Coturnix japonica: one gene and its partner. The protein of the gene in region 2 interacts with the protein of the main gene of each other region in a biochemical or structural test. Links are inferred from orthologs where the notes say so. Each region holds a gene or a part of one and is shown on either strand. Other genes may lie near its edges. The genes, in order: ELF2 and RUNX1.

Region 1 (4,317 bases), on a different chromosome or scaffold from region 2:
TTCTGCCTCCACCTTGAATCTAATATGACTCTAGGCTTGCTCCCCATCAAGTCCCTTACAATAAGGAAAAGGGCTTTGCTGCATCATATCTAAGTCTTTTTATACATAACCTGTGGGAAAACAGAAAGAAATCTAGCTGCTCTCACCCTCAGAAACTAGAATTGCAAAATGGCCTGTGCTACATACCCAAGCACCTCCCCACAACAAATCCACTCCTATGATGCTTTCAGCAACTACCAGACAAGGTTTAAAACATTGCATGCCACAGCTGTGCTGAGCACGTAACAGCCATCCAAAACCAAAAACCTCAAGTCAATCCCTCAGTGCACAACTGCTCTCCAGTTAACAGTGAAGCAAGCACAGAGCTCAAAAGAATTAGAACATTAAAGTAGATGAGCTGGCATGACAAAGATGGCGTAGCACATCACCTCTCCTACACCAGGCTGGGCTCTAAACAAAACTCTGAGCACAGATCTGTGAGTTGGTTCAGTTTTATTTCAATTGTAAGCAACCAAAAGAAAAAGAGAACTCGGTGCTTGAAAAAAGCTGCACACACTTGTACCCACACAGAAAACAAGAAAAACACCCGGAACGCTGGGTAGCACTGATGGGAGGCAGCTGCTCCTGCAGCACTCAGAAAATGTGTAAGAGCCCTTGGAACAATGTCTCCCTTTTATTCAGTTGGCATCCAAAACCCCAAGGATAGATTTATGCGGATACCTACATAGATACAGCCGCAGGAGCAGGACCGCGGCCAGCAGCACTATCACATACCAGTGTTTTCAAGCAGGCCTTCCTTTGCTTCGGTCAGAATTGCTAAAGAAGTCGGCTTGAATGCAGAATCAGTTATGCACACAGAAATGCAGCAGCTGAGATCACTGCCGAATCCCACTAACTGCAACAAGGCTCCTGAGGGGTACAACAGCCGCTTTCACCCTGAGACCTACAGACTTCAAGAATGCTGTTCAAAAGACAAAACAAAACACATTCTGCCGACTGAAAGTTCTTTCCAAGACACTTTCCCTGACAGGAGAAATTGTGAGCTCACTGTGTTTCCTTGGAACACGGAACAAGTCTAAAATCAGAGAAGCTTCTGCAAAAGCAGGAAAAAACAACTTCTCTGTAGCTAAAGAATCACAAGGTCGGCTCGAAAAGCTGACGTGGGTCAATCTTTGCATTTCAGGAGAACAAAACAGACAGTCTGAGCTAGTTATATCACCTTATAAACTACAACAAAGGATACAGAGAAAGAACTCAGACAGGAGAGTGGTCCTGTCCTGCCACAACACGTGTCCAAGTATCAGAGATCCCATCTCGCAGGGCAGTCGCTCCACTGCTGGATGCATAGGAATTATTACACTGGATCCAGTTAACAGCATACCAACCCAGTAAGGAACTCAACTTCCATATCTATTGAACGAGAAATCTGACCATCCAAAGTTTGTTCTGGAAGCTCAGTAGCTAAAGCTGATGAGTCCCGGGACATGCGAGTTCATCATGTCATAAAAACCACTGGTACTCTGCAGAAAGCTTTGTGACTTCAGCACTCCTCTTCTGGAGCCTCCTATGTTTTACCCTATGAGCAGACTCCCTTTCCACTGGTCCCGAAACCTCATCCCTCACCTCCCTGCTTGGTACCAGACCTCCTCTCCCTGTCGTGCCAATTGTTGGCCCTTAACATCCGTTTCTACTGCCCAGCAGGCCAGAGTTCAGGAAAAATTATTCATCGCTTTACATAATAAAAGAGAAGGGATCAACGCAAAGAAAAAAGTTAAGGATGCGGGTTTAAAAACAAACCAGCACAACAGCAGAGGAAGTGGGCATGCACACAACAGGATCCATTTACAAAGGATGTTCTAAGGGCCGAAGAGATAAGAACATTCAAGTCAAGAAGTTATGGAGATAGAGTCCCTCACCAGCCTAAGTGACCGCGGAGCACAAGGATGCACAGCCTCACGCTGTGGGGCTTTCAGAGGCTGGCATTGCTGGAACCTCAGAACAGAGCCCCGCTCCCAGAACCTTTCTGAAATAACTGATAGCAACGGAGATAGGCGGAGTGCGGAGAACCCTGGCTCAGACCCACGGCACGTGGACCTGCAGCCTTGTATTTCACTTCCTCAGGATCCGGGAAGCAACGGTTCACGCAAACAACCACAGATCCAGACCTCTCTGTTCTTCGACACCCGATAAAACAGGCAGCTTTACCAAAGCCCCATACGGAGCTTTCAACGTACACTAACACATCGCTATAAAGCTTTCTCCAACACGCCAGCGTTCGCACCGCTTCAGTCCAAAGTTAGGACACAAAACGCAGTCCCCGTTCCCCCACCTTTTAGGTCACAAACAGCAGAGCCGCTCAGACGCCCTATAACCAGCAGCCCGCTCCTGGCAGCGCCGAGGATTCCCCCGGCGCAGCGCGTGGGCTGGTGCCGGAGCGGCCGAGGGCTGATGCACGCACACGGCTCCGGGCGCCCCGCACTCGAAGCACGAGCAGGACGGCGGGCACCCCGCCCCGGGCCGGGGAAAGGGGGGGCGGCCGGCCGGGATCCGCTCGGCCAGCACGCATGACAGCGAGCGACAGAGCGGCCGGCGCCGGGCTGCCATCTTCCCCGCGCCCCGTGTAAACAAGGGCTGCCCCGCCGCCCCGCAGGCCGCGCCGACGCTGACAGGCGCCGGGAGCCGCCCGCAGAGCGGGCACTGGAAACCGAAAGCGCCGCAGAGAACGGGCGCGGCGCACCGCCCGGGCTATCGCCGCCGACCCCCTGCCCTCGAGCGGCCGCCTGTCACCGCCCCGCGAACCGGCGCCACGCTCTTACCGTGCCCGCGGCGTCGAGGCCGCCTCCTTCGCTCGCCTGGGACGGCGGCGGGCGGGGCCGGGCGCCGCCCGTGCACGGCGGAGGCCGCCCCGCGGCGGCGGCGACCAGGGCGGGCGGGGCGGCTGCCGCGGCTCAACCTGCCCGGCCCCCCCGCGCCGCCTCTGCACATGCTCGAGCCGCACGGCGGGGAGCTGCGGGCATGCGCGGCCGCTCGGACCCTGCGCAGGCGCCCGCAGGAGCCGTTGCCCCGCTCAGGGTGCGCGCCGTCCCGTGCCGTGCCGTGCCACCGCCTGCCTCGGGAAAGGGCGGCTTCACATCGCCCCGCTGTACCGCCGTGCGGGGCTCTGCAGGGGCTTGTCCTGGGGGGAAACGGCCGGCCGTGTGCGGGCTCGGACAGCCAGCAGCCTCCCTGCCTTGGTCTGGGAGGTGCGGAACAGTGCGACCACCGGCACTGATAGACAGCCGGCTGTAAGTGCCCTTCGGGATACGATAACTAAAGGAAAAGCTTCACGGAAGCCACGGCGCATGGCTGAGGAGCCCGGCGTTGCCCAGCCTTGTAACAGAGCGTGTAGTGTAGCGAAACTGAAGTCTTTTCACACTCTCAGCCTGCCTAAGATTGAACAGTGCACACACTTGGATGCTGTTCAGTTGCTGGATCTACTGCTGCTTTACATCACCCACCTCTCATCAGTAGCAGGAGCCGATCCTTAACGTCAGTCCCTGGCAAATGCTGGTAGAGATAGAGGGGGTGTTGACCCCAACAAGTGCCACTTAGTATCCCTGCACGAGGCAAAGCAACAAATGTTTCCTCCAGCCCTATGCTACTTTGTACAAGAGTCAGATGTTTTTTGCAGGGATGTGGGGCCTAATTTGAGGACCCTAAGTCTGTTTCACGTCTGTATTCTCAAGCATAAATACCACATTAATGAAGGTTATGTCTGCAAAGAATACCAGAAGAACTGTCAAGTCTTGAACGCCAGGTTTGGCTCCTATCTTTCCCTAACAGCCTCAGCACCACGCAGTTTACACTGGAACTAAGTTGCTCACTACAGCAGCAGAATGAAAAGGAGCTGTACAGTTAAGCTATTGAAAATAAAACCCGGTGAATAAAAGAAGGCATTATTTATTTCTTCCTGTTCAGCTCCGGCTTTTGGGGAATGCTTTCTTTGCTCCGGGTTTTAGCATCCCTACTGCCTTTGATTGAGTGCCCTCTTCTGTTTGATTACGTGAGTGCATGTCAGCCAACGGGTAATTACTATTTATCACCAAACAAGCAAGATTCTAGATAACTAAAAGACACTGAATCTGTACATGAAACCAACGCATATCAGAAGCCCTTCTTCCTACCCCAGTAAAGCTGGAGGGGCCAACATCTCCTGCAGCTTCCCAGGAGAAGGAGTAGAGACCAGAACGAAGGAAAATCCTGTTACCTACCACACCATTCAGCAGCCATGGCTGTGGAATAAAGTTTACTTCCCTCATCCTGCACACCTGCTGTTTG
Region 2 (3,808 bases):
TGTAACCTGCACCTTGATATGCATTTTGCAAATTGTGTTATCAGCTGACTGTAGCGATCTGATCCTTTGCTTACTATGTTGCAACAGATTTTGGTGGCAGATTTGATCTTAGCAGTGACAGATTCAGATCCAGCGGAGGCGGATAAGTTTTCCAACTGGGTTGCTTGGTTTCACTGGCATATGTGAACCTCCATCTCAGAGGAAACTGGGCTTCAGTCATCATTTTATAAGCTTTCAATCAAATACAACCCAGTGGATAACCACCAGCCCCGGAAATAAGTTCAAACCAGCCCTCTCACATTCAGGTCTTGGCTCTAAGGTCCTTTGCCTAAAGCTTACTTTGTGACTGCCTCCCTTGAAAGGCCAAATAAAGGCCTTGACAGCACATCTGTCTCATTCAAGCACACAATTAATTGATAACTACCCATCAAGTAATACACCTATAAATATTAAAAAAGCCTGTGATAATGCATCTTTGCAAGAAAACAAAGACTTGCAAGGTGTCCATGCGTCTTGGGACAGCCAAAAAAGGGAGATGGGAACAAGGCAGGAAGTGCCTCTGAGCCCAGGAGCTCTCAGCAGGGCTGGGTGGGTGCTGAGCGAGCAGGGGAGGATTTTGGGTACTTACCCTGAATCTGACTCTGAGGCTGAGGGTTAAAAGCAGTGGTGTGGTTCAAGGAGGCTCGTGGGTTGGGTGTGGGGGCTGGGTGGTGTGGGCTGACCCTCATGGCCGTACGACGCAACTGCTCCAGTTCACTCAGGCGCTCTGAAAAGGACAAGCTCCCGGGCTTTGTCTGCTCATCTAGTTTCTGACGATGTCCTATTGTGGGAGGGGGGGGAAAAAGATCAGAAAATCTCACTGATACATGAGGTCTGTTGACTTTTCTTTTAATTTTACTTTCTAAACCCCTCATCCACTGGTGAAGTATCTGAGTGGCTATCTGAAGTTATACTGAAAATACCTCTCTGCAAGGACAGGAGAAACAAACAGTGCATTGAAACCATATCATAGGGCAGCCCATGACATGGCGTACTCTGAAGAACCAGGCCCACTGAAAACAGCAGTGCCTCCTTACTACAACTCACTCTGGGAGAAGAGGTTTTTATAGAAGAAGTAACATCTGACAGGATGAATAACAGAAGGAAACTTGTGCTGGTCCCTGTGCTAACCCTGCATCAGAGTAACTCATCTGAAATGCAACCCTAGACTGTCATAAAGTACTGTACTCAGTACTGTGGGGCTGTAAAATAACAAACCCAAATAAATCTCATTTTTGGACTCTTTAGCAATTGCTTTCTAGACAGAAATAGGCAAGAAACACCAGTAGCTGGCAGAACTGCAGCTGCAAGGTCATGATGTCTCCCTTAGCAACACTAGGAGTTTCCAAGACATGAGGTCTCACCAGACATCCAAATATAAGAAAGCAGACCCTAACATGGCAGAATAGGATGAAGCACAGTGGCACTGGCCTCAGCCATGAGGGAGGAGCAGGGCCTAGGACCAGGCCTAGGGTAGGCCTTGGAATGCTGTCCCCGTGGCACTCTGGTGCCATGACCTCACGGGGCTGCCAGGGGACAGGAAAGGAGCTGGAAAGGCCTTGCTTCCAGCATGGCATTGGGGTACATCCAGGTTTGTCTGGAAGAACAGAGATCTGTCTTGCCACAGGCAGTACTGGTTTCAATATAAGCTTTAACTAGGAGCAATGAGCAGTATGCAAGGTAATGCATTTCTAACTGCTGCCCATCAATGCTCTCTGCTCTGGGACCCTCAGTGTAATGCTGCCACAAAATGTAATGTTGCTCAGTAGCAATGTGCACAGAATACACGAAGGATACCTCACCCACTGCAGCACTTGCTTTCTGTTCAGCACGATGAAAACACAAATTTTCTATCCTCATTTGCACCTTTTTAGGAATTAACCTATCACCTTTTTCTTCTTACAGTTCACAGGAAACAAGCTGTTAGCAGAAAGACCATAAGAGGACTGTCTATGAAACACAAATTGTCCTATCAAAGATGCTTTTTGAAACAGAGAGCAAGATACTGATTGCAGCAGCAGTATGAGAAACCCAAACCCCACCTGTATTCAGTCAGTGGAATAGGATCCTCAGCTCCAGAGAGAGCACCTTCTGCTTTGGACCTTCACATGGATGCCATCAACCCTCTTTTCCCCCCAGTCTCAAATCTGCACTTTGCATTTGTCTCATGAAATCAGCTGCCCTGTGAATCTTGTTGCTTATTCTTTCCCTTTCTTTTCTACATGAAAGCATGTTGTCCTGATGTGAATATATCTCAAATGTCTAGCCTAGAGGTCAATGAATGGACATCTTCAGTTCTACTTGCTCCATTGAAGAAGGTGGTGTTATCCACAGTTTTTGCCAAATATCATATTTCACTGCCTGTCTGCTCCCGATTTTCATCGTCTTGCAATAAAAGGTTGCTTTTGGCAGCTCTCTGTGCATTTCCACCTCCTTTGCCTCTCTACCTCCTGTGCTCCTTTGGCAAGTCCTCCCTGAGCTCAAAGCATCAGCAGTGAAATGGACTGATACAAAACGTCTCCAAATAATCCACAAATTCCCATACTATTTAACATTTAAACATTTATAAACACCCAGCTTCCAATTTCGCGTATCGGTGAATAAGCAACAAAAAGCTCTGTATGTCCTTTACTCTACAGAGCACTCTTTCATGCCAACCTAAAAGCGTAATCAAGACACAAGACCATTTTATGCACTAAGGGGAAAATGTACATTCAAAAACAGTTCCCAGTAGCTGCATTTCTAAAATTAAATTTTATAACTCGTATTATGGTTCCAAATCTCAGTGGCTCGGCGTTTCTTCCTGTTGCCAGGCCCTTTGGCACAGCATGAACTGTCTCAGATTCCACACTGTGCTATAAATTATCCCAAGAGGGGAAAAAAAAATTAAAATATAAAAAGACATATTATATAGCAGCGGTTTCACTGTTTAAGAGACCCATTAGGGCTTCCAAAAAGAAAAAGGGAGGCGGTGGAGGGAGGGGAGAAAGATGAAAAAGACTTCTATGGGATATTCTGGTGGGCCAAGAGCAAGCACTTTGGTTGTCAGCAGCACGGAGCTGGATGCTGCTCCTGACACTGGACTTAAATGTGAACACATGGAGTCATACAAGATGTGTAAAATACCTCATGCATTTGGATTAGCTTAAGCTTCAGCAGTCTGACCTGAGGTCTTGCAGAGCCAAGATTTAGATCCTTCCAAATTCATACCCCCAGTGTAATTTACTCCTCATCCTGAATTCAATTCAGCCATTTTCTGCTGTTAAGTCTGCAGCCTGACCTCTTCGTACCCTGCTTTCTTCTCTCCTGGCCAGGCTGCTGCAGCTCCTGTCACAGCCCCAAGCTATCCTAAAGCCCAGCAGCCTCATGCACAGGCAAGCAGGTCCTACAGGCTACGTTCAGGCCAACCAGGCAGCAATCAGCCTTCCCCTCTGATGCACTGCATTTGTGTCTGAATTAAATTAACCAAAGGTGCAGCATCCCCCTGGGGTTACCACAGGGGGTATCCTGAACATACCTCTACAAGTCTCTTCATTGCCCATCCACCAACTAAAGCCCCAGATTTTAACTATCTGCGGTATTGACAGAGGGTGCCTCAGCTTGTGGCTTGCATGAAAACCCCACTTGTGTCATTGGAGGTCAAGGAATCAGCACCTGCAGGCTCTTCCTCGGGACAGCTCAGCTATTTATTTAGGTCTATATGTGGTGGCTTTGTGGTGGGAACTACCAACTGATATCATCAGGGAATTGTCATCTCAGATGTAGCTAC

The links.
Region 1: the proteins of RUNX1 (region 2) and ELF2 form a complex in vitro, tested with the Homo sapiens proteins (2 studies listed by BioGRID and IntAct). The link is inferred for Coturnix japonica from reciprocal best matches to the Homo sapiens genes RUNX1 and ELF2.

Annotation. Positions count from the first base shown.
Region 1 is NC_029519.1:25,638,928-25,643,244, forward strand, and holds the start of ELF2 (ETS-related transcription factor Elf-2), read right to left. Parts: upstream 2,911-4,317; 5' UTR 2,817-2,910; intron 1-2,816. UniProt on the Homo sapiens protein: Isoform 1 transcriptionally activates the LYN and BLK promoters and acts synergistically with RUNX1 to transactivate the BLK promoter. Isoform 2 may function in repression of RUNX1-mediated transactivation.
Region 2 is NC_029516.1:95,415,183-95,418,990, forward strand, and holds part of RUNX1 (runt-related transcription factor 1), read right to left. Parts: intron 821-3,808; coding exon 629-820; intron 1-628.